Oryctolagus cuniculus: one gene and its partners. The main gene of each other region encodes a partner of the protein of the gene in region 4 in a complex. Links are inferred from orthologs where the notes say so. Each region holds a gene or a part of one and is shown on either strand. Other genes may lie near its edges. The genes, in order: FAM8A1, UBE2J1, HERPUD1 and OS9.

Region 1 (7,383 bases), on a different chromosome or scaffold from region 4:
TTATGTACGCAATGCTATCACGAGCAGGTACCGTAGCAGCCCTGGGGATTTCATGGTTAATCAATTCAAAATGGTCACTGCTTTTCGGGAGATTCTAACCCAGCCAGGAAAACAGAACAATAAAAAGTAGCAGTATCACAGTGGGATGAGAGCTGTGATGGAACCACACAACACTGTGCAAACCACACCAGATACACTTGAACCTAATGAAGCTTCCCAGGAATGCCCCATAAGCCAGCAGCTGAAGGATGAACAGACATGAGTGAAGAAAGTTCTAGAGGGAGAGAGTGTGGGATGGACGCTATAAGCAGTTTGGTACAGCTCCACTGTTAGGTATGAGAGATGACAATAATTAAGAATCAGGATTTAGGGCCCAGTGCTGTGGCGCAGCTGGTTAAGCTGCTGCCTGTAGCACTGGCATCCCATATGGGCGCTCGTTCTAGTCTCAGTTGCTCCACTTTTTTCTTTTTAGATTTATTTATTTGAAAGACAGTTACAAAGAAAGGTAGAGACAAAGAGAGAGAGAAGTCTTCCATCCACTGGTTCACTCACCAAGATTCTTATGGGTCTCACACGCTGGTGCAGGGGCCCAAGGTCTTGGACCATCCACCACTGCTTTCCCAAGTGCATTAGCAGGGAGCAGGCCAAGGTTTACATCTGCCACGCCACAGCGCCAGCCCCCAGTTGCTCCACTTCTGATCCAGTTCCTGGCTAATGTGCCTGGGAAGGCAGCGGAAGATGGCCCAAGTCCTTGGGCTCCTGCCACCCACGCTGCAGGTCTGGATAAAGCTTAGGCTCCTGGATCTGCATGGGCCAGCTTTGGCTGTTGCAGCCATTTGGGGAGTGAACCAGCAGACACCTCTCCTTCTCTCTGTAATTCTGCCTTTCAAATAAATAAATAAATAAATATTTTTTAAAAAAGAATCAGGATTTATAATCACTTGGCTTTATATCAGAAAAAGGACAGAGATGGACTTTTACTATAATCAGGGGCTGCTGCCTGCAGTGCCCTGCCAGCATCCCATATGGGTACCAGTTTGAGACCTGGCTGCTCCATTTCTGATCCAGCTCCCTGCTATGTCCTGGGAAAGCAGGGGAAAATGGCCCAAGTCCTTGGGCCCCTGCACCCACGTGGGAAACCTGGAAGAAACTCCTGGGTCCTGGCTTCAGATAGGCCTAGCTCCGGCCGTTGCAGCCATTTGTGGAGTGAACCAGTGGATGGAAGATCTCCCTCTGCCTCTGCCTGTTAACTGCCTTTCAAATAAATAAATAATTTAAAAAAAAAAAAAAAGACTTTTCCATAATCAACTCAAGGATGACAGTAATAGGACCAGGAAGAAGCAGTGATGATGAAAAATGATCTGATGAAAAGTGAGGAGGAAATGGTCTGGGTGGAAAGCCATTCAGGAGAAGGAACATAAAGGAGCTGGAATTTGATCAGATGTATAGAGGCACAGGAGAGGGAGGGGGCAGGAAGGACTAGCAGAAACACTAGCTTCCTGGCAAGGGGTTTTAGAATCTGACTACATGTGGGGCCGGTGCTGCAGTGTCATAGGCTAAGCCTCCACCTGCAGCGATGGCAACTCATATGGGCGCCAGTTTGAGTCCCCGCTGCTCCTCTTCCGATCCAGCTCTCTGCCATGGCCTGGCAAAGCAGCAGAAGATGGCCCAAGTGCTTGTGCCCCTGCACCCACATGGGAGACCCAGAAGACACTCCTGGCTCCTGGCTTCGGATTGGCACAGCTCCAGCCACTGTGGCCATTTGTGGAGTGAACCAGCTGATGGAAGACCTTCCTCTCTCTCTCTCCTCTCTGTAATTCTATCATTCAAATAAATAAAAAAATCTAAAAAAAAAAATTGACCACATGTTTGTATCTTGACATGGTCACTTAGTACTTCTGTAACCTTTAAAATTCTGGGCCTAGGTTCTCATATACTCAAATTTCAATCTCTATAAAATGGAGGTATTAGCCTCTACCTCATAGTGGTACTAAGATGAAATAAGACGCCATATAAAGACGCGAGCTAAGTGCCTAGCATACAGAAAGTGCTTAGCAAATGAGAACTGCTGTTATGATTATTTTAATCTCAGGAGAGGGTTATTCAAATAAATGTCTCACTTTGCAGTTCTCTTGGGACTGGGCTCATGGTAAGCAATGCCATTTGGAAATACATCTAGTTGATAATTAGGAGTTCACCCACCAAAAGCTCTTTATATTTCTGTCGTTAGAGACTCTCTCTACAGAATAATAAGAGAGAAATTGCTTCCTGGCCCAAGAATAGTTGAATGAAAACAAACCAGGATTGGAGGATCATTTTACCTACTTTTGATGGGTGAAATTCTCACAGATCTTACAGAATGTATGAGGAGTTTTTTTCTCCTTTGTAGTTATTTCTTAGGTCCAGTAGGAAATAAATCCGACAGAGCTTTTAGAAAGAAATCATGACATTATCCTTATAGTCACTTGCAGGCATGAAGAGAACTCAATAATTTCTAAACAGTAGAAATTCAAACTCTTCTACAAAGGTGCTTAACTTACTTTATTCCACTGAGGTGCATAATGCTTAAGACAATGGTTGCTTTTATAAAGAACAGAATAAAGAAATCCACCATCTCCGCCATAAATCTGTGGGCCAAGGATGGAATAACATACTCCCTGCCTGTAAGTTAAAAAAAAGAAAATTATGAAAAAATGATCATTTCACAAAGGCTTTAGTGCACAAGGCAAGTAAGAATGGAGAAAGCAAAGTCAAGGTACAACCTAGTAATTATGAATATTCACAACCTTGCATCAGTTAGTCATACTGATCCCAACAAGAGTATGTATTACTAAAATACAGCGATACCACTGCACTGTGTTTAATAAACTGCTTAAAATTTATTTTCATCACTCTAATGTTCAAAGATTGATTTCACAGCTGTGTTTGATTCAAGTACCCAAAACATTTCAGCAGGACTCAAATTAGGAGAATCCAGGTGATCACACCTAGGCGACACTCAATTAAACTTTAAGAGAAAAAGGTAAAACTCGAGTAAACTATAGTATAAACACCCACGGTATAAAGTACAGCATAAATAAATACTGTGTAGAGTAAATCCCGGTATCTCACATTTCCCTCCCCTCAGTCATTGTTTTACTTTCTAGAAAATAAATCCGCGGGTCATCAACCTGTCATCCTCAATTCTGATTCAGGCTCATATACAGGCACCAACTGGTTCTCGGTCCACATATCGGTGGCTGAATACAAACTCTAACAAGCGTAGCTAACTAAAGCCATTTCTAGTTCCCAAGCAGAAGTTAACAAGGAGGCTCCGAAAGCAGTAAGCAGGGGCCAGCCAACACTTGGGAACTCCATTTGCATTCATGTAAATCCTCCGGATCGGTCAGGCCCACAGCCCCTAGGCAGCGCACTCCAGCATTGCCAGTCAAGTCTCTGCACAAGTGGGTCTAACTCTCCACCTCGCTCTCCAGGGCAGATTCCTCCCCGTGGGAATCGACCCGGGCGCGAGGCCCTCGATCTGCTCTCAAGGTGGACGGCACTGGGGTGTAAGGCCCGGGCACACTCCCGGGAGCCGCGGCCGTCCCCACGGGGGCGCAAACCCTGCAGGCAGCCTCCCCGAAGACCCCCTCGGGATACCCCCCGCGCCTCGCGCTGCTCACCTGCCTGCCGCCCGCTCTCGCTGGCGGCGCGCGAAGGCGCGGCGGATCCCGCACGAGTCGCTGGAGCGGCCCGGACCGAGCCCTGCACGTGAGGAGCCCGCGGCCCCAGGCCCGCCACCGGGGCCGGGGTGCTGATGCCCGCAGCCGCCCCCGCCTCCGCTCCCGCGGCGCCGGCGCTCGGGAAGTAAAAGGGGTTGTAATAGGCCAGCTGCGGGGGCGGCGGCGCCGCGGCCTGGGGGGCGGCGGCGGCCGTAGCGTAGCTGGGAGCGGGCGGCGGGGGGCTGCAGTAGGCGGGGAAGGCGGCCAGGCCGCTGTGCCAGGTGAGGTAGCCGCAGTAGGACTGCCACAGCCACTCGTGCACCTGCCGCGAGTACTCGCGGGCGCTCAGCCGCGCCGGCTTCTCCCGCAGCGCCTCGGCCTCGGCCGCCTCGCAGCCCGCCGGCTCCTGCAGCCCCGCGCCGGAGCTCGGGGCCGCCTCTCTTCGCCTCCTGAGCTCCCGCTGCGGCTCCGACTCCTCCGGGGCAGCGGCGGAGGCGGGCGCGAGGGCCGGGGCTGGCGGCCGGCCCGGGGCCTGGGGTTCGACTGGCGCCGCGTCTCGGGGACAAGGGCCGGCGGCTGCGGGAGGGCCTCTCAGGGAAGGGACAGGCGCGTGGTCCCCTCCGCCATCGTCCTGCCCGGGAGGGCGACCTCGGGCTTCCTCGGGCCCTTCTGCCATCGTCGCCTCGGCAGCACCCTTCGCGGTACCTGTCACTGCGCCGTCTCCCTCCCCTCAGAGGCCCCTCCCCAACGGCCCTTTCGCCACCGCAGCAGCCGCAGGCGTCAACAATCCGCCACCGGAAGCGGAAACCCCGCCCCTCGGGGGGCGTCGCTGATCGCTGCGCGGGGCCGCCGGAGGCCGGGAGGTTGGGCTGTTGTGTCTGGTGTGGGGTTTTTGGGTTCCTGTCCCGTCGGCAGTCCGGCTCCCCACGCCTCTTTATGGTTAATCGAGTGATGTCTAAGGCCTGAGGCCTCTCTAGAGAATCCCGGGGGGTTGGCGCCGGATGTCCCGTGAGAAACTTCGGCTGGATGGAGGGGGATTTCCGGGACGGGCCCGGGGCCAGCGCCGCCATTGCCCTCGCCGAGCCGAGAGCGTGGTTCGCCATTTGTGCTCGAGAATGTCTGTGCACTTGGGAGAAACACATCGACAGCCAAACTGAACTGGGACTTGTTTTGGGATGCGACGGGAAGAGAGATTGCTGATTTAGAAGCTGGTCTTGGTCCTGATGCTGGAGCTAGCGAGCCTGTGTCCATAAAAACTTTCCCGCTGCCGCAGAGCGGAACCTTTCCTTAAGCCTGTTTTCCTGTTGGGGAAAGAACCCCTGATTATATCCAGGGTTTGGGAGCCTTTTAAAAAAGATTTATTTATTGAAAATCAGTTACAGAGAAGGAGAGGCAGAGAGAGAGAGGTCTTTCATCCGATGGTCCACTTCCCACCTGGCTGCAATGGCCAGAGCTGCACCAATCCGAAGCCAGGACCCAGCAGCTTCTTTCGTGTCTCCCACGTGGGTGCAGGGGCCCAAGGGCTTGGGCCATCTTCTGTTTCCCAGGCCATAGCAGAGAGTTGGATGGGAAATGGAGCAGCCAGGTCTCGAACCCGAGCCCATATGGGATGCTGGCACTGCAGGCAGTGGCTTTACCTGCTACGCCACAGCGCTGTTCCCACAGACTAGTATTTTAATATGCTTTCCCATGTCCTTAACTGGATTAGTTCCCTCAGTCGTAGTAGTATAACTTTGGCCAGAATCAGGGCCAACAGGGGCCAAGAGCCCATGGAGTATTTACTGATGATGCCCAGAATAATTTTTGACTGCTCAGGGGCATCTAAAAGGCTTAACGTCTAAGAAGCTAATGAGCTGGATAGAGACTTGGACACAACACTTGAAAAACTATTAAGACTGAGTATTGGGCTGGCGTTGTGGCTTAGCAGGTGAAGCCACCACCTGTGATGCCTGCATCCCTTAAGGCCCAGGTTCAAGGCCTAACTGCTCCACTTCCCATCCAGCTCCTTGCTGATGCACCTGGGGGTGCCAGCACCCTTGTGGGAAACCTAGAAGAACCTCCTGGCTCCTGGCTTCAGGCTGTTGTAGCTATTTGGGGAGCGAACCAGCAGATGGAAGATCTCACACTTTTTCTCTAAACTCTGCCTTTAAAATAAGATCGTGGGGCCAGCGCTGTGGCTTGGCAGGTAAAGCTGCTGCCTGCAGTGCTGGCTTCCCATAGGGGCTCTGGTTCAAGTCCCAGCTGTTCCACTTCCAATCCAGCTCTATTCTGTGGCCTGGGAAAGCAATAGAGGATAGCTCAAGTCCTCGGGCACCTGCACCCACGTGGGAGACCCGAAGAAGCTCCTGGCTTCAGATTGGCCCAGCTCTGGCTGTTGGGGCCATTTGGAAAGTGAACCAGTAGGTGGGAGGCCTCTCTTTCTCTCTGCCTCTGTCTCTCTGTAAATCTACCTCTCAAATAAATAAAAATAAAATCTTGAAACTCTCTTAGGTCTGAGTTGATCAAGCGGTACCATCAGCATTGCTCCTGAAAGCATTCCTTATGTGATCTGCATTCAATAGAAACCATATTGGAAAACATAGTTGTTGAACTTGGATCTTTCCCTGGCTACCACTGGGTGGTCCAACCCAGGAGATGCTGGGCAGCTGCTAGTTAGCCCCATAGTTATCAAGGAAAACCACTGCAGTGCTCTGTTGCTGAGCCAGGATGTACAGGAGGTCTGGTGCACACAATGCTTTTTCTGTTTATGACATTCAACTTACGGTGGTCTTCTTGGGAACATAACCCCATTGTGAGTTGAGCATCTGTACTCCCCCAGGCAATTTGTGCACCTAAGGCTGAGAGTCACTCTCGCTGCATCCCTAGATGGCTTTCACTGGTTCTAACCCAAGAGTGTTGGTGGTTGCTCCCCGTGAGCACCTCAAGAGAGTAGACCTCTCCACCTCCCTCTAGCCACAACTCCATTTCTTTCCTCATTTACTGAGCACTGTCTGCGCTGGTTGCTATGCTAGATGATGGGGATACAAAGGCGAGTGAGATGTAGTCTTTGTAGTTGAGAAGCTCACAGAACGGATGGGGGAGCTTGGCGGTGAGTAAGTGTCTGGTAAAGTGTGAACCCCAAGGAGGGAGTGGTCTGTTGCAGTTGATTTCTCAACAATGTTGCGGTGCATTTGTTTCTGAGAGGAGGAGCATGGTGGGGGCAAGAGGCATGGAGTCACCACACAGACCCCAGGAGTCGGGTGAAAGTGGGCTGGAGGCAAGCAGCCCACAGACTGGTTTATTTCAGTTAGTACAACAGCTTATATAGTCAAGACCAGCCAATCCGGTCAAGGGGCAGTCTATGCCCCAACTAATCACAGCCTGTTGTCAGTTTCCAAAGCCATCCAATCACGGCCTGTTGCCAGGCAGTTTCTGTTGTCAGCGGCCATCTTGATAGGACCTTTTCACCTCATTCCACCACAGGGGTCCATCCATCTGTTAGGAGACAGGCCTGAGACTAGGGAACAGCTTTGAGGTGACACACTGGAGGTGGTCATGAGCTAAGTCTTAGCAACATTCGTGATGGAGACACAGGAGGGACTGTGATTGCAGGGAAAGGCTGCAACCTGAGCAAAGTTCACAGAAATAGCTGACACTTAGGGCCTTGGCTGGCTGGCATGGAGATAAGCCAGGAAAAGGAGGG
Region 2 (6,824 bases), on a different chromosome or scaffold from region 4:
GGTTTCCAAAATCTGAAAACTGGGGGGTGAAGAAATCCTACACCTTGGCGCTGTGTAAACCAGATTATACACTCGATTTTGGTCTCATGCTAGTTATGGGGATGGGGTAGGCCTTTAAAAATAATCGTTTTCTGAAGAGACCCTGCAGTGGGGTTTCACTAAGAAGGCTCCCAAAGACCAACTTTGCCCACAATGGGGGATCAATTTAAGGATTTTTAGGGAGCACAGGTGACCTGAAAAGAAGAGAGTGAAGTGTGCCCCTTTCAGATGTATGTATCAGCCGTCACTATGTCCCAGCACAACCAAGCAAGTTGCTGGTTAGTTGACAGGTGAGGGACAAGAAGCCAATGAGAGGGATCTGCACAGTGCTCGATTTTACCATGTAAGTGCACGCCATGGAAACACGCAGCGCGACCGACCGCGCAGACCCAGGGGCTGGCAAGAGGCTGAGAGGGAGGCAGCAGAAGCCAGCCTGTTCTGAGCCCAGCAAACGCTGAGATGCCGCTGCTACCTGGTATTCCCAGTGGGTCACGGACCTCTTGCTAGCAGACCACTGACCTCTGAACTAACATTTCTTTTATCTTGTGTTCCAAATCAAGAGCTCAGAATGCATTTTCTCAACACAATAAAGTTATAAAATGATGACAAAATTTTCATGACATGCGAGGTCTTCATAAAGTCCTTGGGATTTTTTTTAGCCTCTACCAACTTCAGTTACAGATATGACAGAGATAATCTATAAGCAACTTTAAATGCTAATCTATGAAAATTTAAGACAACTCTGTATTATATCACAGTATACAGTAAGTTCTTATTTTAGATGCAGACATAAGGAAAAATTGGCTGTCAAATGAAAACAGGAATTGTGCCTCATAGTTAACAGATTAAAAGTCCCAGGAGTAAAAATTAAATTTGCCTTTAAAATGATTTAATAATTTTTTATATTGCCCATAATTTCAGTTACTCAAAACCACGTAAGGACTTTATGAATGCCCTCCCCACAACTATCCAAGATCCACATGGGCTATCTTATGTGGACTGCTCTAGAAGCTGAAGGACAGCTACATTGTTTGAGTTGGAAAAACACATGAACTTCTGATGCACTTTCAGAGCATCACCTATTTGAAAGCTGGGGACTGCTTACATTTAAAACTGAAATCCTCATCAAGAACTTCCAGATGCCCTCAGCGTTGCTAACTGAACACACTGGAGGCAGCATCTCCTGTGATTGTATGGGTCTCACCAGGCGTTACAATGATAAAAATATCTACGAGGGTTGGTGGAGCTGGCTGGCACAAGTTATATCTTGATTTTTCCACCAGAAATTCTTCCTTGGGCTTCGATTAGGTGGACAATTCTAAGTAAAGGTTCTCCTAATTCTGTCACGGTTACTTGAGCCCTGAGCTTTTCAACTAAAATGGTGCATGAAATATTTCCACATTATGCATATTCCTGAAATAATTAAATTTATAGTGATTTCAATGCTAGGCATATAATACATCTCAAAAGATATACAATTCAAAGCAGAACAAACATTCAAACCTTAAGATCTTCCCACTTTACTTGGAGAAGAAAAATCAAACAATTCCCTGGCTTGGACCCTTTTTTCCTTAAAGATCTTCCTTGAAGACTGTTTTCTGTCTCTAGTTTGGTGTGCACTGGGGACAGCAGGGGAACAGCATATCAAAGCCGTTACAAAGCACTTCCTCTTCAAGTAATCTCCAATAGAAAGATGTGACCTCATCTCGGTGAAGAATGGTTAGGACATAAACTCACAGAATGGGAGCTCTCGACATTTTAAGGAAGCTGCTTGAGGAGTTCTGCTCTTCCTTTTCAGCTCTTCTGCCCCGTGTCATTCTCCATAAGTAGAAACACAGCACCCAATAAATACTATTGAGTAACTGCTAGCACTCATGGGAACTTAACACCCTCTTCTAGCCCAAAATGTCACCGGGCTACACAGAAAAAAGTCCTGCATAAAAAGCAGCTGAAGCATGAGAAAAAAATTATCTCCCTGGCAAGCAGATCAGCCAGTGAGCCGAGGACCGCCGACTTCCAGCCCCGAGAACTAAGTGGGACCCGCTGCCGGACACGGTCTGAATGTCTAGCCACACTGTGATGAATTTATAAAGATCAAAAAAGGAATGAAGGGTGAATACAAAATAATCTTTTTGTAAACAATTCTGAGATATACCCAATGCAGAATGTTTAATGAAGCAGTTGAGTGAGTCACAGCTCTTAAGTCACAAAACAATATTATAACTCAAAGTCAAATATGTACTCATTGGCCAGATATATTCGTCGGAATATAAGAGCGGCCAATGCCAAAGTCAGGATGACGATCAGAACAGCCGATCCGCCGTGATCAGTGTGGTTGTCTCTGGGCTGCGGGCCTGGCGTGGCGTCTGGGGAAGCGGATGGCCTGCTCTGACTCTGCTGCTGGGCCCTGCGCTGTCGAGGGCTCATGGAGGTATTCTTAGCTGCAGGCGGGGTAGGTTGTTCAAAGGATGCTGCCGAGGGATTCTGGACTCCAAGCTAGGAAAATGCGAAGAAATTTTGTTGGAAATTGGCAAAGACAGCTTGTGTATATATTGTTGCCTACTCAAGAATACAGCAGAATCTTAAGTACCAAGTACAACTCGGGGCAAAACTACCAAGAGCGGCCTGAGACGCCCTCCTTCCTGAGGAGGAGGGAGTACTCCCACGTCATGGAGGCAGAGGAGGAGCCTGCCAGCGACAAGCACGACAAGCACGACGAGGAAGGGCTTCCCAGGCTCTCCATGCGTGGCTTTCTGCTCTCCAGCAGCGTCGGTTACACATGGAGCACTTCCCTTTTTCCAGGAGATTCGAGGGAGGAAGCAGTTTCATTTCCACTTTCAAATGGCAAAACAGTGACTCGTCTTCTTCCAACATTCTCCTACCATGTCAACATGCTTCCGACCAGAACAGCAGAGCCCAGGCAGCACCCCGAAATCACAACTCTTCCCAGCACTGCTGCTGTGAAGATTCGCTGTGGTGCTCAGACCAGGCTTACCCTTCGTCACAGTCGCTGCTGCAGGACCGGAGCACAAGTTCACAAGTGTCCTTGTCTTAGTACTGCATATTCTGTGCTGTCAGAGTTCCTTGGGAATATGCTCAGAAGTTTGGAGGCAGTCACGTGTGACTGAATGTACCCTCTATCTGGCACACTGGTTGCCTCCTCAAAGCACCAAATGACAACTGCTTTCTACCACTTCAATTTCTGGCCAGCCAATATCAAGATGTGGTATCTCTGTACAATGAAGATAATATCCAATTTGGCACTTGTGACTAAATGGGATAATGATAAAAAGTGCTTAGGATATACAGCTGTTTATTAGTATTATTCATTTGTTGCTATTAGTGTATCTTTCTGGGAGGCATCTCGTTTAGGTTCAAAAATAGTTGCAACCTCATCTAGGACAGCTTTTCAATTAATATAGTCAGGGAAACAATCCCTTAAAACATTGACTGTAGATGGCATAGCACATACACTTAAGTATTATACAGATATTACATTTTAATTAGGTTCCTATGTTTTAGATGCCTTTTGGATGGTATCACTTATTTATTTATTTATTTATTTTTTTACAGGCAGAGTGGACAGTGAGAGAGAGAGACAGAGAGAAAGGTCTTCCTTTGCCGTTGGTTCACCCTCCAATGGCCGTCGCGGCCAGCACGCTACAGCTGGCGCACCACGCTGATCCGATGGCAGGAGCCAGGAGCCAGGTACTTATCCTGGTCTCCCATGGGGTGCAGGGCCCAAGCACTTGGGCCATCCTCCACTGCACTCCCTGGCCACAGCAGAGAGCTGGCCTGGAAGAGGGGCAACCGGGACAGAATCCGGCACCCCGACCGGGACTAGAACCCGGTGTGCCGGCACCGCAAGGTGGAGGATTAGCCTAGTGAGCCGCGGCGCCGGCCTGGATGGTATCACTTATTAAGTACCTTGTCTACAATTTTTCCTACTTAAGATACTCATAATCATAGTTAAGTCCTTAGTAATATAAATCACTTTTTCTAGAATAACCAGCATCTATGAGGGAGTTTTGTTTGCTTTTTAATATAAAATGGAGTGATTTATTCAGAATCTCAATCTGATGTACCAGAAGAACATAAAACTGTCGGTATTTTCCCATAGCAAAAAATCTGCATGAAAAAGCAACAGATGGTCTGATGTTATCTTCTGTATTTAGACTCCTGGCAATCTCTCCCTTCCAGGCTAAAAAAAAATATGCAGAGCTGATCTGGGATTTGATGCGTAACACCTCAGTGAATTAATATCACACTTGCAAGTAAGGCAGTCACCCGCAGCCAAAACAAAGCTTCAGTCACTTCCCTAGTGGTCAAATTATTAATCTGAGTTTATATGTATAGCAAATTAAAAATTTAACTTATAATTGTAGATAATGTATTGTTTTTTGGTATTTTGACATAAACTGGTCTCAATTAACTGTATCTATGAAAAAGAATTCCAAGTCTTGCATAAGTTAAAATAAAAAGGAAGATACTAGCCTAATAGTAACACTGTTTGTACAGTCTAATGTAAACTTCTTAATTTCTTTACCTATTTTCCTAGTTTTTTTTTGTTTTTTTGTTGTTGTTGTTGTTGTTGTTTTTTTTTTTTTTTTTTGACAGGCAGAGTGGACAGGGAGAGAGAGAGACAGAGAGAAAGGTCTTCCTTTGCCATTGGTTCACCCTCCAATGGCCGCCGTGGCCAGCGCGCTGCGGCCGGCGCACCGCGCTGATCCGATGGCAGGAGCCAGGAGCCAGGTGCTTTTCCTGGTCTCCCATGGGGTGCAGGGCCCAAGCACTTGGGCCATCCTCCACTGCACTCCCTGGCCACAGCAGAGAGCTGGCCTGGAAGAGGGGCAACCGGGACAGAATCCAGCGCCCCGACCGGGACTAGAACCCGGTGTGCCGGCGCCGCTAGGTGGAGGATTAGCCTAGTGAGCCGCGGCGCCGGCCCCTATTTTCCTAGTATTTTTAATGCAGATTTTTTAAAAGATTTATTTATTTATTTGAGAGGCAGAGTTACAGAGAGGCAGAGGCAGAGAGAGAGAGAGAAGCCTTCCATCCGCTGGCTCACTCCCCAAGTGGCTGCAAAGGCCAGAGCTAAGCAGATCTGAAGCCATGAGCTTCTTTCAGGTCTCCCACACGGGTGCAGGGACCCAAGGACTTGGGCCATCTTCTACTGCTTCCCAGGCCATAGCAGAGAGCGAGATTGGAAGTGGAGCAGCCAGGACTCGAACTGGCGCTCATACGGGATGCCAGCACTGAAGGCAGCGGCTTTACTCACTATGCCACAGAGCTGGCCCCTTAATGCAATTTTTAAAAAAGATTTATTTTATTTATTTGAAAGGCAGAGTGACATAGAGAGATCTTCTATCTACTGGCTCACTCCCCAAATGGCTGAAACAGCCAAGGCTGGGCCAGGCCAAAGCCAGGAGCCTGAAACTCCATCCTGGTCTCCCATGTGGGCAGCAGGAACCTGAGGTTTTTGGGCCATCTGCTGCTGCTGCTGCTTTCCCAGACACATTAGCAGGAGCTGGACTGGAAGCAGGGCAGCCAGAACCTAACCCGGTACCCTGATATGGGATGACCCGATATGGGATGCTGGCATCAGAGGAAGCAGCTTAACCTGCTGCACAACAGCAGCCCTTTTCTTAGCATTTTTTAAAAGTACCAAAACAATCAAACGACAAATACATACTGACTGCTTACTATATGCAAGGCACTATGCAAGATACTTGGGATACGGCAGGGAAGTGGAAAGTAAACCAGGACGCCCGGAGAGCTTACATTCTGGGACATGAGACAGACTATGAACGATTACAACGAAAACTGCAACTGGACTAGGTATAACCAGAATATATAACAAGAGGACCTGACACAGATTTAAAATACATAAAAGATTTACTATATCACAAGTACCTGTGCTAATAGCTGAAACAAGATAACCACCTTCTTTCTAACAGAATTGTGCTATTTTAAAAAAACATAAAATAGTAAAAATGATTAGAATACTGGAGACGAAAAGTAATCCAGAAGTTTTAATATTTCAAGCTCAAACATTCTAACTTTTTTTTTTTTTTTTTTTTTTTTTTTTTGACAGGCAGAGTGGACAGTGAGAGAGAGAGACAGAGAGAGAAAGGTCTTCCTTTGCCGTTGGATCACCCTCCAATGGCCGCCGCTGCAGCCGGCGCACCGCGCTGATCCGATGGCAGGAGCCAGGATCCAGGTGCTTTTCCTGGTCTCCCATGGGGTGCAGGGCCCAAGCACCTGGGCCATCCTCCACTGCACTCCCTGGCCATAGCAGAGAGCTGGCCTGGAAGAGGGGCAACCGGGACAGAATCCGGCGCCCCAACCGGGACTAGAACCCGGTGTGCCGGCGCCGCAAGGTGGAGGATTAGCCTATTGAGCCACGGCGCCGGCTCTAAACATTCTAACTTTATAATTAACTCATTATGTCCCTCTACGATTCATACGATGACACTGGGATCATGTAAACATGGTTTACTCTCGCCCACCTACACGTTTTTCTCACGCCTCCATCTGTTATCTCCGGGCCTTCTGCTCCCCCACCACGCCTAGCTCCCTGTGTCCACAGGAGAAACCACTCAAGACCACTGAGCGCACTCTTTAGTAAGGGACACCCCCACAAAAGACAGGCTGTATTGGCCCAGCACCTGGTTAATTTACTTGCCCCTTAAAGTAATCTATAAACTGAAGAAAGGATTTAAAAAAAATAAAAGATGTGCCTACATAACCAATGGTACCAAAAGACAGTTAATTTTTTACAGAGA
Region 3 (6,824 bases), on a different chromosome or scaffold from region 4:
AGATACTGTTGAGAGCAAAGCACTGTGAAGACTGTGGTTCTTACAGCCTTATTTATAAAGTGGTCTTTTTACTACTAAGAACTATACATAGGTACAGGCATGCTTGAGTTTTCTTTAACTTAGTGAAGAAATTCTAACACTCCTTATCCATAAATGTATTTTCTAAGAGAAACTACATGGTAAATTTCACGTGGAATTAAACATGAAGGCCACTACAAAATTAGGGTGTAGCAGCAAATTGAGTTTCACAAAACTTTAAAGATATCACCAATTGGAAAGACCTTTCTAAATGATGTCATTCGCAATGTATCACACAAACAGCCTGCATCAGTTCACAGACGCGGCAGCAGCTGTCAATCACAGTCCATCCCACCCACAGAACCAGACGGAGCAGGGCTCTGCAGAAACAGATGAAAAGCCACTCCTCCCTTCATTCTGAACTTCACAGGTATCATGCATGGGGTCACCCACAATCCCCAGAGTCACGACCACATGCAGTCTAGTGGGAAGGACTCACTATTGCATGTAGTACTGCCGGGCGTAGATCTGCTGGAACCAGGACAGCTGCAACCACCCATATGTCGTGTAGCCAGAGAAACCAGGCCCCAGGCCTTGGAACGCCTGCTGGACAGCTTCAGGCCTGAATGCAGATTTAAAACAAAACCAAAAAACAACTCACTGGTTGAATATGAATAAATGAAAACTAAGTTTATTCCCAGGAATTCCAATCAGACAGCCAAATGAACGGGCTTCCTGGTGGCCATGTGGCAGATGGCTGTGTTAATGCAACACAGAGAGTGCCGAGGGGCAGAGCCCTCTACAGGTTCTAGAGCCCCCAGGAAAACCAGCTCCCTCGCCCAGCACTAGGCGCCCATCATGTCACCAACAGGGGGCGGCTGCTCGTCTTGTGCACGGAAGTACCAACAAGCTGACCCTTCTCTGGCAAGGTAGAGCCCCACTCACTGGCTGAGTCTCACTGCAGATCTAAACCCACTGTGCACCCTTCAGAGAGCAGCTCAAAAGCCACATTTCTCCCAAAGTCTTTCCGGAAGTACTTCTGTCTTCCTGGGAGATGTGTCCTGGGGCAGTTTCCTGTGCAGGGGACATCACTTGTGCTTGCTTACTGACCACCTAGCAGCCTGCCCAGGTCACTGGATCCCCAGTAACCATGTGGGGAAGGACTGCACTCCCATTTTACAGAAGGGAGCCCAAGCACAGCTCAGAGAATACAAGGGATTTTCACAAGGTCGCTGAGCTAGTAGCAGGCCTGGATTTGAGACTTATTTTGTTTGACGTCAAACTCATGCTTTTCCAATCGTGTAACACAGCTCCAGCTGCTTAGGGCAGGGGAGGTGGGACTCTCTTCTTTGGCCTTGTGCTTCCTACACAGTGAACTCCCTCCCTTTCACAAACTGAAACTATAACAGAATTGCAGGAAAATCAGGAGCATGTTACGTGTTCATTCCTGCTGGTCAACTTGTATCTGTAAGCAAAGGTATATGCACTGCCTATTCAATAAACATATTTTAAATGAAATCAACAAGTCTAAATATGGTAAAATTCAAGCAATCAGATAAGCTTCAATTCTCATGCTAAACAGCCAGAATGAGAGAGGCCACTTTAAATCGTCTATCCAACAAGGTATCCAGTTTATATGCTGACAGTCTTTTACTGAACCCCATATCCAGAGAATTTCTAAAACAGAAGGTCTTAGTTTGACACTTTTTGATCATTAAAAAAGTTCTAATGCATGAAAATTAGATGAGGTCCTTTTCAAAATTTTGTAAGATCTAATCATGATGGCATTGCAAATATGTAAGGAAACTAAATGGTTCTTTTTATAGATAACAAGGTTTATTTAAGAATAATCTTTTATGTATGCTGAACTTACATACATATAAAACTCAACTAACGCCAGCAATTTTTCTTTTCTCCTGCTAAATTTTTTTAAGGTGAACAACATTCATGCATTTCACATATACAGATTTAGGGATACAGTGATACTTCCCACCCAACTAAATGTTTCGTACAGCTATTTACTGAAGTATATAGGGACAGAATGACAGGATGTCCAGGAATTACTTCTAATGCATGAAGAAAAAAAGGGAAAGGAGCAACACTGGGGCCTGGGTGATGGTTATGTGGGGTCCTTATGTAATTCCCTCTACTTTTGTATATTCCAAATTCTCATTAAGAAAAAAAAGCCATGGGGACAGCACTGTGGCGCAGTGGGTTAACGCCCTGGCCTGAAGCGCCAGCATCCCATATGGGCACTGGTTCGAGACCGCCTGCTCCACTTTTAATCCAGCTCTCTGCTATGGCCTGGGGAAGCAGTAGAAGATGGCCCAAGTCCTCGGGCCCCTGTACCCACGTGGGAGACCTGGAGGAAGCTCCTGGCTTTGGATAGGCACAGCTCTGGCCGTTGCAGCCAATTGGAGAGTGAACAAATGGATGGAAGACCTCTCTCTCTCTCTCTGCCTCTCCTCTCTCTGTGCAACTCTGACTTTCAAAAAAATAAATAAATCTTAAAGGAAAAAAAGTCCGATTCCTCAAACATCTGCCTTTATCAAAAACTGAGGATAAAAACTACTAGGAAGAGGAGGTGGGAGAACTAGAGAATTAAAGAATTTTAACTTGTAGTCAACAATATTATTTTTCCCACAGGTACTTTATGAGGTATTCCAACAGCTGTCAAATCTAAACCTCAGAGCGGCCAGTCACTTCTGATCTCTGCTCTACAGCAAAGCTCTAATTGTTCTAAAAATATGGGGGCCGACAATGATAAGACCGTCACCCGTGTGGGAGGCCAGGGTGGAGTTCCAGGCTCCTGGCCAGTCCTGACCACTGCAGCCACTTGGGGAATGAGCCAGCAGATGGAAGATCTCTCTTCCTCTCTCTCTCTGTGCCTTTCAAATAAATAAATCTTTTAAAAAATAGTAATAACCTCTTTTCTAAGCATCCTGGCAGGACGCTTCTCAGCGCCTTCACCGTTGCCCTCGTTGTTACGATACACAAAGCGCAGGGCTCTCAGCAAGCAGCCGCACAGTGTTCTATCCCAAGGGCAACACCAGGAAACACACCCATGACGGCGAGGAAAATGCCTACGCTCTCTGGACAGGCATGTCCTGCCTTTTCAGATGTTCCCTAAATGGCTGTGTACAAAGAAAAGCTAAATAAGGTATCTTTAAAATGAAATCCTCTGCAAGGCCAAATTTTGTTCTCTGACCACACAGGTGCAAACACATCTTATTCTTCAATGAGAACACTCACCTGGAGATGTTCTCCCAGCTGGAGGGAGAAAGGTTCCGAAGAACTTCCCTTTGCCTTAGGCCATCACTTGCGGAATCCCCAGGATGCTGGCCCTGATTAGGACCAGGGGGCTGCTCTGTGGACTCAGCAACCTGCGTAAGTAAGGTGCTGGTCAGAACAAAGGCCGTGATGCAACCATCCTGCAATCACTCTGCTGTGAATGGCCCCGCCCCCACCTCTAAACCAGACAAAATTAAACAGGCAATGTCATGTAAAAAATATTCCGAAATTCATTCAACCCAATTTTAAATACATGGATCCTTAAAAATCCATACTTTCTTTCCCCAGAGTAATTACACTGCAGTTTCACTAAAGCCTTCCAATGAGGTTATCACTGCTGAGAAAACTTCCTGATGAGTTAGTAAGTTCAGCATCATAAGATGTAACTTAAGACACTAAATTTGACTAGGATTTATAAATACAATGCAGCCAGAAAATGAAAGGAAAGAGAATTTCCTATACTCTATTCATAAATTTTAAAAATAGTTGTAATACAAACTTAAGAGTACATGATTAGAATATCGATACTGTATATTCCGATAAACATTGTGAAATGAAAAACAAACACTTCTATCAAATAAAAATAAATCTTCACAGATCACGTGACAAAGACTGTGGCCTTTTTCTATCCAAATAAATAGTCACAATGAGAATTTCCAAAGGAAATATACTCAGATTTTTATTCTTTATAGTACTAACGATTCCCTAGAAGAAACTTGTGGGCACAATTTTTACCACCTTCATTTCAAGTGCCTTGCTGATTCAGTGATCTGGACACACAGTACCCAGAGGTCGGGTCACACTCCTGACTCCCACACTTCCACCTCGGCTCTGGCCCACTCTCCAGCACATGCTCTAAAATCTCTCTTAAAAGTGTTCTCCAAGTTCCTGCATTTCTCCCTTCAGAGTTGAAAACAAATTGTTGCAATCAGAGAAAGCCGACCTACCTTTGTGCTGGCTTCAGGCATTTTTGAAGGACTCTTCACGTTGCACACCAGGTGCAAAACATGCCGTTTCTCCTGCTAAAAATCATGAGGAGGTACTTTAGGACTGCGCTCAGGCTGCTGGCGCCTAAAAGCATTCCAAAGTTACAGTGTAAGGGACGCACCTTTGGAAGCAAGTCCCTGAGACACTGGTGATCCAGCAACAGCTTCCCAGAATAAATCAACCTCTGGTCCTCTGGACGCTGAGCGTGGAGAGAAAAGGGGTCAGAGGTCAGCATTTAGCTCCTGCACCGCTCCAGCACAGAGTCAACTGTTTCATACCATGACCCCAGTGTGCACACTTCCCCCAGCCTCACAGGAAAACACCTTGCAAAGGCCCCACATTCACAACTTTTATTCAGAAAGTGCTTAAATTTAAACTGATCTCAAATATGCAAATAAATTTAGGATGACAAATTATCTGCAGCCCACGAAACCCAAGGCAGCACACTTGACATCCTACCTACCAGGGAAATGGGTTTGCACCACGAAAACCAGAAATTTTATTTGGGGCTCCTATAGCAACTAACTTCAAAACTAGGCTTGGTCTCAGAGAGAACTCAGAGTACTCCCAAGGTCAGCCTTCGTCAAAACCACCTACCATCGCCCCAACACAACAGGAAGCAATGCTAAGCACAAGCCCCTCACAGAAGATTTCTCCATTACAGAGATGCTGTGTGGGTAACATGACATACCACACCTTGTGGGACCTCCTGCCCCTACTTTAGGGGGCAAAGTCTGAGAAACTGGCCCAGGTCACCACTGCTAAAGAGTCAACGGTCCAACCCTCTCTTCTCTACGCCAGTGAATCTACAGCTGTGGGGACTCCACACGCTTCATACACCTCACTTTAAAAAAAATTTTTTTTTTTTGACAGGCAGAGTGGACAGTGAGAGAGAGAGACAGAGAGAAAGGTCTTCCTTTGCCGTTGGTTCACCCTCCAATGGCCGCCGCGGCCTGCTCATCGCACTGATCCGAAGGCAGGAGCCAGGTGCTTCTCCTGGTCTCCCATGGGGTGCAGGGGCCAAGGACTTGGGCCATCCTCCACTGCACTCCCTGGCCACAGCAGAGAGCTGGCCTGGAAGAGGGGCAACCGGGACAGAATCCGGCACCCCAACCGGGACTAGAACCTGGTGTGCTGGCACCGCAAGGCGGAGGATTAGCCTATTGAGCCGCGGCGCCAGTCTAAAATTTTTAACTCCATTTAAATTATACTTAAAAACAATGGCCTCAAATAACACAGCAGTCAGTACACTGGAGGTCTCCAACTCCTCCACCTACTCTTGCCAGAATAATGCAAGATTTTGAATGAAGCTGTTCTTGTTCAAAAGCCTAGAATTATAAAGCAAGCTGCTTAAAATCACACCGGAAAAAATAGCACCTTCTTATCTACGTGCATCAGGACTTCTTTTAACAAAGAAATCTGATGGACGCTGTGTTCATCATTGTTCTGGCTGATGTCAGAGGCAAATGCTATATATGTGCATTTGTAAACTACTACTGTATTATGTGGAGCCTTGCATTTTATTTAAGAGTTCAACCGTGGCGCCAGCGCTGTGGCATAGTGAGTAAAGCCACCACCTGCAGTGCTGGCATCCCATATGGGCGCCGGTTTGAGTCCCAGCTTCTCCACATCCGATCCAGTTCTCTGCTATGGGAAAGCAGCAGAAGATGGCCCAAGTCTTTGGGCCCCTGCACCTGTGTGGGAGACTCAGAAGGGCTCCTGGCTCCAGATCAGCGCAGCTCCGGCCGTTACGGCCAATTCAGGAGTGAACCAGCGGTGGAAGACCTCTCTCTCTTTCTCTACCTCTTCTTCTCTCTGTGTAACTCTTTTTTTTTTTTTTTTAATGTATTTATTTGAAAGAGTTCAACCACTAGAGAAGATGTCAAAACTACAGCTGCTTGTGGATTTGAATTGTTCCCCACCCCTTTTTCGAGGCCTGAATCAACAAAAAAGAAAAAGAACTGACTTAAGGGGCCTGTGACACTGGCATCCCATATGAGCACTGGTTCCAGTCCCAGCTGCTCCACTTCCCATCCAGCTCCCTGCTAAAGCACCTAGAAAAAGCAGTGGAAGATGGCCCAAGTGCTTGAGCCCCCGACACCCAGGGGAGACCCGGATGAAGCTCCTGGCTTTGGCCTGGCCCAGCCCAGGCTGTGGGGGCCAACTGGGGAGTGAAGCAGCAGATGGAAGATCTTTGTTTCTTCCCCCTTCTCTCTATAACTTTTTCAAACAGTATTAAAAAAATAAAATAAAAGCTAACAAAAAAGTTAAATGTTAACTATTCTAAAGTCGGAAGTCTCACATTATACCATTTTATACTACAGAAAACAAATGCTGAGCATGCTCCAGCAGTAATTTGTAAATACCAATGTGTTCACATGACAGATCTTTCTGAGGTCGTCACACTCAGGGGAGTGATGCTCCGCACCTGCCCCTCGCCTATCTGTGCACCTCGAGGCCACCTCATTTCCTGGAAGCAGCTCCCAAGAAATTGGAGAGGCAAGCGGTGAATTGCAAAGGCCACGGGA
Region 4 (7,440 bases):
CAAGCCAATGAAGAAATGTTTTAAAGACTGCACATTCCTGTGCGTGTGGATGCTTGTGGGCACTTCAGAAAGCCCATAGAGGAATGGAATTCAAAGCGGAATAAATCCATGCACATGGGTATGAAGCAACTAACCAGCCTCTGGGTCAGCCAGGAAAGGCGCCATTTGAACCAGCTGTCATTCATTCCAGTCAGTCACTGAGCAATTTCTGGGCACCTACTTGGTACCAGGCACCATTCCAGGCGCTGAAGATACCGAAGAAAACAAGACAGACACAGGCCCTACCTTCCTGGAGCTTATTCTACCAGTGGTAGACAGAAACAGATACTGAATTTTAACAAATAGGGTAATTTCAGGCAATGATTCGCACTCTGAAGACTAGAAGACACTGTCCACGCTCACCAGTTCAGGAGGAGAAGCACATGCATGTGTATGTCAGGTGGCCCTGTGTGGCAGTGCCCTTAGAATGTAACCCAAACGAGGGAGGAGCCAGACTTTCAAAGGTCTGGGGGAGGACTATCCCAGGCAGAGGGAACAATGAGAGTCACTGGTTCAAAGGACAGAAGGCGGCCAGTGTGGCAGAAACACGATGAGTATTTTTATCTCCAGCCTAGATCTCGCCCTGAATTCCAGACCCACAGAGCTAAATGCCAACCGCACATGCTGCGGGGATGTCTGATAGGTACCTTGACCTGCGTATGTCAAAAACCAACTGAACTGCCTCCCCCAAACCTGCTCCTTCACACGTCAGGAGATGACGATGCTGTGGTTCCAACAGCTCACACGGAAACCTCTGGGGTCACCCTTTCCTCTCTGCCACATCCCATACGTCAATAAATCTTCTCGGCTCTACCTTCAAAACAGAGACAGAATCTGCCTATTTCTCACCCTCTCTGCTGCTACTATTCAGGTCAGTGCTGAAGCACAGCAAAATCAGCGACGGTTTTCCAGCGCTGGGAGAGAAGTGATCTGTGGTTACAGCGGCAGACTGGAGCCAGCTCACGAATCAGCTCACAAGAGACAACTGATAAATCTGGGGAAATGTTGCAAGACAGCAGACATCCTGATGTGGGCATGACTGGAGTATTTGGACCACAGATATTGGCAAATGTTACAATCAGGACTCCTCCTCCAGCACACCTACCCTGCCCAGGGATCTGGGCGGTCAACACTTACTAGCACACACTGCACATACAAATCTGTGTTATGGGAAGGTGTGGGGAGCAACTCGGACTAGACTAAGTTACTGGAATTAAGACTTATTCTATGCATCTGCTCTCCCACAATATGGCGCTGAGAAGGGAGAAACAGCTTCTACACAGCTGCCTCCAGTTCAACCAATAAACAGCAGGACCTGCTCCTGATTGGAGGAGAGCAGCGTACTCGGCGTGTGGGTAGCAGAGTTGGGATTGGCGGAGGAGGACTATAAAGGAGGAGAGAGACAACATGCACCAGGAACATCTACGGGGAACATCTATCTGAGGGAACACCTGTGCAGCCCCTGAGAGAGCCGGCCGGCGGTGTGCCGCTCTCCCGCGGAAGTGGGGAAAGTGGCAGGGGGAACCGCCCTTCCACGGAGGTGGAAGGGACGGTAGCCAACCCGGGAAGAACCAGCAGCAAACCCGGGGAGGGCCGAGCAGACAAAAGAACAGCGCAGGGTCCTGTGTCGTTCCTCCACGAAGAGGGGGAGCGACAGAAGGTAAGGCTGGTGGGTGGCATGTGGCAGGTGTGTGTGCTTGTGAATGCATCAGAATCTCCTGAGGCTCTCTGCCCACCACACGTCGGCATGCTGAGGGGCATTTGTTCAGAGGCCATTGGTTGGGGCCAGCGCTGTGGTGTAGCGGGTAAAGCTACCACCTGCAGTGCCGGCATCCCATATAGACGCCAGTTCGAATCCCGGCTGCTCCACTTCCAAGCCAGCTCCCTGTTACGGCCTGGGAAAGTAGTAGAAGATGGACCAAGTCCTTGGGCCCCTGCACCCATGTGGGAGACCTAGAAAAAGCTCCTGGCTTCTGGCTTTGGATCGGTGCAGCTCCGGCCATTGTGGCCAGTTGGGGAGTGAACCAGCAAGGGAAGACCTCGCTCTCTCTCTGCCTCTGCTTCTCTGTGTAACTCTGACTTTCAAATAAATAAATCTTAAAAAAAAAAAAAAGAGGCCGTTGGCTGCAATACAGGTACCAACCACAGAAAACAAAAGGTGAGTTTTAAGATACGCCTAGAATGAATGGGCTGTGTTATTCATGCTGAGAGAATTAGACTCCTTTCCTTCATCTTACTTCTTTGTAATCTCAGATTCACTTCTGCAATTCAGACTGCATATCTCACGAGGACAGGGGCTGCACACTCACCACTGCATTCCCACGTGGCCCACAAACATGGCAAGACCCCACTGAGGAGTTGGTTAATGACGACAGGGGGCTCAACGTGGAGCAGGAGTCAGGTGACAGGAAGGACAAATGTGGGGGGGTGCAAGGACGTGGTTGGGGCACAGACGGAAGATCTGGGAACTACTGGCCTGAAGGGCATGTGGATAGCCGGCACTGAAACAGGCGGCTTACCCCTTCGGGTTTAGGGCCTGGGAGAGCCCCACCTCACTGTCCCAGGCCAGCCTGCCCTCCTCCTCTAGAAGGGGAGCTGTCACTGAGGGAGTTAAGACTCACCCGAACCTCAGCCTCCCGGGGCCTCCCATTGAGGTCGCACTTGGACCCGTTGCCATAGGTCTGGCTGTGGTAGCGTTTCAGGCGATGCTGCTTGGAGGCCTGGAGAAGACATCGGGCCGCAGGGAGAGGGTGTGAGAAAGACGGCAAAGAGAAAGGATGGCACCCCGTCCCTGCTGGGACCTTGAGACCTCAGAACCCTGGCCCTAGGGCACTGGGTCCTAGTGGCCAGCAAGGCCCTAGAAAGTCGTCGGTGAACCTGACCCTCCCCTTCTCTCCAGATCTTTCATCCTGCAGCCCAAAGCCCTTTCTCCTCCAGGCCCAGGCTCCCGCCACCTTGGCTGTTTCGTCATCCCAGTCGAAGGCCGATTGGTAGTAGCCGAGATACAGGACTTCACCTTTGATCTCTGAATCTGCAAGAGAAGCCACAGGGAAGCAGTTACTGTCTTCTAAGAGGAGGCAGCGGGAGGAGGGCTGGGGAGGCGGCCACCTTCCACACAGGGGAAACGGACGAGCGAGTCACCTTCCATGTGGTACTGCTGGATGTGGCGTCCATAACAGAACTCGTACGTCCACCAGTCTTTGGTCTGCCAATTACAAAACGAAGAATGGGTGGGCCCAGATGCAGATGTCTCTTCTCGGAACCAGCCCTGGGCTCCAAGACACATAACCTCTTGTCTACTTCTCATCTCCCTCCACCTCCACGCTCAATTCTCCAGCCCCTCACTGAGAAGGAAGAGCTGTTTTCCTTCTGTGACACAGAGAACCCCAAACTCTGTTCTCTGCCTGGGATCTCCCACCTTTTTTGTTTTCTTCCAGATTTTGTTTTTAATCCTTTGCCTTCCATAAAGATAAGGAATCGTGTTATCCTTGAAGCACTCAGAGCAAGTCAACTAGCACTCCTGGCACTATGCTAAGCACCCGGAAGGCAGCCATGAGCAAGACCAAATGACCTCATGGAGCCACATTCTAGAGCTTGGGAGTCAGACCAAAAATAAACAAACTCATTCAGTTAATATTCATCTCCTGAAAAGTGCCATTATAATAAAAAAAAAAAAAAAGTGGGATACTGTGACGAGTGACAGAAGGGGCTGACTGCAGGAGGTAGGCTTCCCCGAGGAGCCGCCCCTCCTGTGCCACAGTGACACCTCCTAGTCTGAGATCGGCCGTCCCGTGTCTCAGGTTGCAGGAGTCTGCTTCTTTCCTGGCTGTGTTACACGCCCACAGGTGACCACTCCCGGCCTTCTAAGCTCCTACAGGTTCCCCAGGTCCCGCTCGCACTCGTTGGCACCGCAGCTGTCAGAGCGGCTGCCGGTTCCCAAGCCCGCGCTCCGTCCCCACAGGCCGTCTCACCTTGAGCAGGCAGGGAGCATCTCTCATGGGGCTCAGCAGCTCCGGGATCCCAGGCCCTTGGTACGCGGGTGTCTCCTCCTCCCTCTCCCGCTGGAAGTGGATAGCTCCAGCGGGCAGGCGACACTCGTAGCGCTGTTTGTACTTGGAGGAGACGATCACCACGTCCGAAGCTTGGTTCTGGGAAAGAAGGGAAGGTCGGGGGCTCCGACGCAAAGAGAGGCTGCGATTATAGAAAACACCCGGATCCCTCTGCGGACCCTGGGGAGGAGCCCAGGCGGCTACAGAAGGAGCCAAAAGGCCTCCGTGGTCTGGGGGGCACTCCCACTTCTCCACGGAGGCGGAGACTGGGTGTTGCACCGTGAACCCCGACCTGCAGGCTGACAGCTGGAACTCCTCTCCCCCCAGGCCCCGGGCCCCAGGGAATGGGTCTCAGGCTGCGATCACCAGGAGTCACTGTAACAGCCCTACCTACTCTTCCCGATCCCCTTAGGCTCCCCCCAGCCTCCGCACCTGCCTTTCTTTCTCTACCTTCTCTCCTCCTTCCTCTTCTACCTCGGACCCTCACCCCTCACACGCCTTCTCACCTGCCCTCCCAAGACTGGCAATGGCAGGATCTCGATTCCATAACGCATTTCACTCAGCTCCTCCAGGTTCAAGCTCCCAACACCGCCGGTCAGACTTGCAGGTAACAACAGCCCCAGAAGCAGCAGCCCCAATAGGCTGGACAGCAGCGTTTCCGCCGCCATCTTTCGTTCCCCTTCTTAACCAGAGAAGCTCCTTCCGCCCTAAACCTGGCAGCGGCCTCACCCCTCCCACTAGCGCCGCAAGTTCTCATTGGCTACACGTTCTGTCCCTCTCACGTACCTGATTCCCATTTGTAAACGTGGCTCCAAAGTTCCCGGGGAGGTGGACCACGACGATTGGCACAATCAATCACTGCGCGTGATTGGCCAGAGATGCCAACCAATCAACGACGAGATTAGACCCCCACCCCTTATTCCCCCAATTCCATAGAGGCGTGGTCTTGCCCTGGGCGCTTTTTGGCAGCTTTTCGCTCTCCTCGGCCAGCTGTCCCGCGCATCTCTGCTTAGCGTATTTTTTAGACGTTTCATGCAAAGTGTCCCGCCCCGCGCAGAGCGGAGTACTGGGGCTGACGGATAGGTGTGTGCGATACCCGTGGAAGTTAATGAACACTTTTTGCGAAACAAGCGATTATTAGAATCATACCTCATTTCATATATACACTACTTCAGGGCAATCAGGTAATTTGTGTCAGACTTTCTGCACGATCCTGCAGTTGTTCTCCAATAAAATGATCCTAAAGGAATCACGGGAGCTGTCAGTGAAAGACGGAGTAAGGTGCTAATGCACGTATTATTGTAAAAGAAAAAATAAACACACACCAAAGAACAAAGAAGGAAAGGAGGCAGATGCAACGTCTGCGAAGCTGGAAAGCCGGCAGAGGAACGGCAACCGGCTTAGCAGAATGAGAAAATCGGCCCCTAAACAAAGGTAAACATGAGCATGGTGCCGCTGGAAAACGTTCTCTGGGGAATTTCTCCAGCACAAAAGGAAAATCCCAAAGAGAAGCTGTCGCAGTGAGGCACACAATCCCACAGGCAAGCCCCAGCCCTGAGCTGACTCCAATCTGCTTGTTGACCTCCTCGCTCTTAACACAGCCAGGCAGTGTCCTTAGACGTTCAAGGAAGGACTTTAAAGATACAAGAGAGAAACAAAACCAAGCAAGCAAAGAGAAAAAAAAGCAAATTAAAGGTAATAAAGATTAGGGGAGGGCAAAAATAAGACAAATATTTTAAAATTTAAAAACCCCACCATCTGTAGCCTCAGAAAGGTGAAACAGTGTATCCATAAAATGACAATGGAAGCTGGTTTTTTAAAGATTTATTTATCTGGCCGGCGCCACGGCTCACTAGGCTAATCCTCCGTGGTGCCGGCACACCGGGTTCTAGTCCCGGTCGGGGTGCCGGATTCTGTCCCGGTTGCCCCTCTTCCAGGCCAGCTCTCTGCTGTGGCCAGGGAGTGCAGTGGAGGATGGCCCAAGTGCCTGGGCCCTGCACCCCGTGGGAGACCAGGATAAGTACCTGGCTCCTGCCATTGGATCAGTGCGGTGCACCAGCGATTGGAGGGTGAACCAACGGCAAAGGAAGACCTTTCTCTCTGTCTCTCTCTCTCACTGTCCACTCTGCCTGTCAAAAAAAAAAAAAAAAAAAAAGATTTATTTATCTGAGAAGCAGCATTACAGAGAGAGAGAAAGAGAGAGAGAAGTCTTTCATCTGCTGGTTCATTCCTCAAATGCTGCAAATGGCTGGATCTGGGCCAATCTGAGCCAGGAGTCAGGAGCTTCTTCCAGGTCTCCCACATGGGTGCAGGGTCCCAAGGACTTGAGCCATCTTCCGCTGCTTTCCCAGGCACATTAACAGGGAGTTGGATTGGATGTGGAGCAGCCAGGACTTGAACCGGCGCCCATATGGGATGCTGGCGCCACAGGCAGAGGTTAACCTACTAGCCCCTGGAAGCTGTTTTAAAAGGCCCCACTGGGCAGAGTCGCTGGTGCAGAGGATCAAGACACCTCTTGCCAGGCTGGCAGGTAGAAGGCTGCTCCGCTTCCCATTCAGCTTCATGCTAATGCACCTGGGAAGGCAGTGGAGATGGCACAAGTAACCCGCAGCCCTGACACCCACGCAGGAGACCCAGATGGAGTCTCTGGCTCCTGGCTTATGCCTGGACTAGATCTGGCTGTTGCATCTGTTTGGGAAGAAAACCAGGGATGGAAGATTCTCTCTCTCTGTCTCTGTTTCTCTGTCTCTCCCCATTTCAAATGGCCACAAAGGACGGAGCTGAGCCAGACAGAAGCCAAGAGCGAGGAGCTTTTTCTGGGTCTCCCACGTGGGTGCAGGGCCCACTTGGAAGCACTTGGGCCATCTTCCAGTGCTTTCCCAGGCCATTAGCAGGGAGCTGGTCAGAAGTGCAGCAGCTGGGACTTGACCCGGCACCCATATAGGATGCTGGCACTGCAGGTGGTGGTTCAACCCACTATGCCACAGTGCTGGCCCCAGTAAATCTTTTTTTTTTAAATAAAGTAATTGCTATTCAGATAAGCAAAAGGGCCTCTTAGAAATCAAAACCATGATAGGTGAAATAAAAATTCATTAGAAAAATTGGAGAAGGTTGAAGATCAAATTGGCTTGACTTCAGGAGAAAATTGATGAAAATTAGAGAATCAGTCCAGAGGGTCGAACATCTGAAAACTGATAACTTCAGAAAGAGAGCGGAGACTCAGAAGGAGAGAAGTTGCTCAGGAAGTCACTCAGCAGTGTTTCCCTGCGCTGAAGAGCTGAGCCTGCGAAGGGAAAGAGCAGGATCTGCGCCCAGAACAAAGCAGGAGGCATCGCCACTGCTTCCAGAGCCC

The links.
Region 1: OS9 (region 4) and FAM8A1 share a complex: the UniProt entries of both Homo sapiens proteins name them as parts of the HRD1 complex. The link is inferred for Oryctolagus cuniculus from reciprocal best matches to the Homo sapiens genes OS9 and FAM8A1.
Region 2: OS9 (region 4) and UBE2J1 share a complex: the UniProt entries of both Homo sapiens proteins name them as parts of the HRD1 complex. The link is inferred for Oryctolagus cuniculus from reciprocal best matches to the Homo sapiens genes OS9 and UBE2J1.
Region 3: OS9 (region 4) and HERPUD1 share a complex: the UniProt entries of both Homo sapiens proteins name them as parts of the HRD1 complex. The link is inferred for Oryctolagus cuniculus from reciprocal best matches to the Homo sapiens genes OS9 and HERPUD1.

Annotation. Positions count from the first base shown.
Region 1 is NC_091436.1:144,839,297-144,846,679, reverse strand, and holds the start of FAM8A1 (protein FAM8A1), read right to left. Parts: upstream 4,496-7,383; 5' UTR 4,378-4,495; coding exon 3,663-4,377; intron 2,662-3,662; coding exon 2,541-2,661; intron 1-2,540. UniProt on the Homo sapiens protein: Plays a role in the assembly of the HRD1 complex, a complex involved in the ubiquitin-proteasome-dependent process of ER-associated degradation (ERAD).
Region 2 is NC_091436.1:83,190,347-83,197,170, reverse strand, and holds part of UBE2J1 (ubiquitin-conjugating enzyme E2 J1), read right to left. Parts: intron 2,536-6,824; coding exon 2,257-2,535; 3' UTR 1-2,256. UniProt on the Homo sapiens protein: Catalyzes the covalent attachment of ubiquitin to other proteins. Functions in the selective degradation of misfolded membrane proteins from the endoplasmic reticulum (ERAD) and is essential for cells to recover from ER stress.
Region 3 is NC_091449.1:40,588,121-40,594,944, reverse strand, and holds part of HERPUD1 (homocysteine-responsive endoplasmic reticulum-resident ubiquitin-like domain member 1 protein), read right to left. Parts: intron 4,496-6,824; coding exon 4,418-4,495; intron 4,332-4,417; coding exon 4,257-4,331; intron 3,402-4,256; coding exon 3,271-3,401; intron 641-3,270; coding exon 518-640; intron 1-517. UniProt on the Homo sapiens protein: Component of the endoplasmic reticulum quality control (ERQC) system also called ER-associated degradation (ERAD) involved in ubiquitin-dependent degradation of misfolded endoplasmic reticulum proteins.
Region 4 is NC_091442.1:60,273,306-60,280,745, reverse strand, and holds the start of OS9 (protein OS-9), read right to left. Parts: upstream 4,820-7,440; 5' UTR 4,757-4,819; coding exon 4,595-4,756; intron 4,188-4,594; coding exon 4,011-4,187; intron 3,245-4,010; coding exon 3,181-3,244; intron 3,071-3,180; coding exon 2,994-3,070; intron 2,760-2,993; coding exon 2,661-2,759; intron 1-2,660. UniProt on the Homo sapiens protein: Lectin component of the HRD1 complex, which functions in endoplasmic reticulum (ER) quality control and ER-associated degradation (ERAD).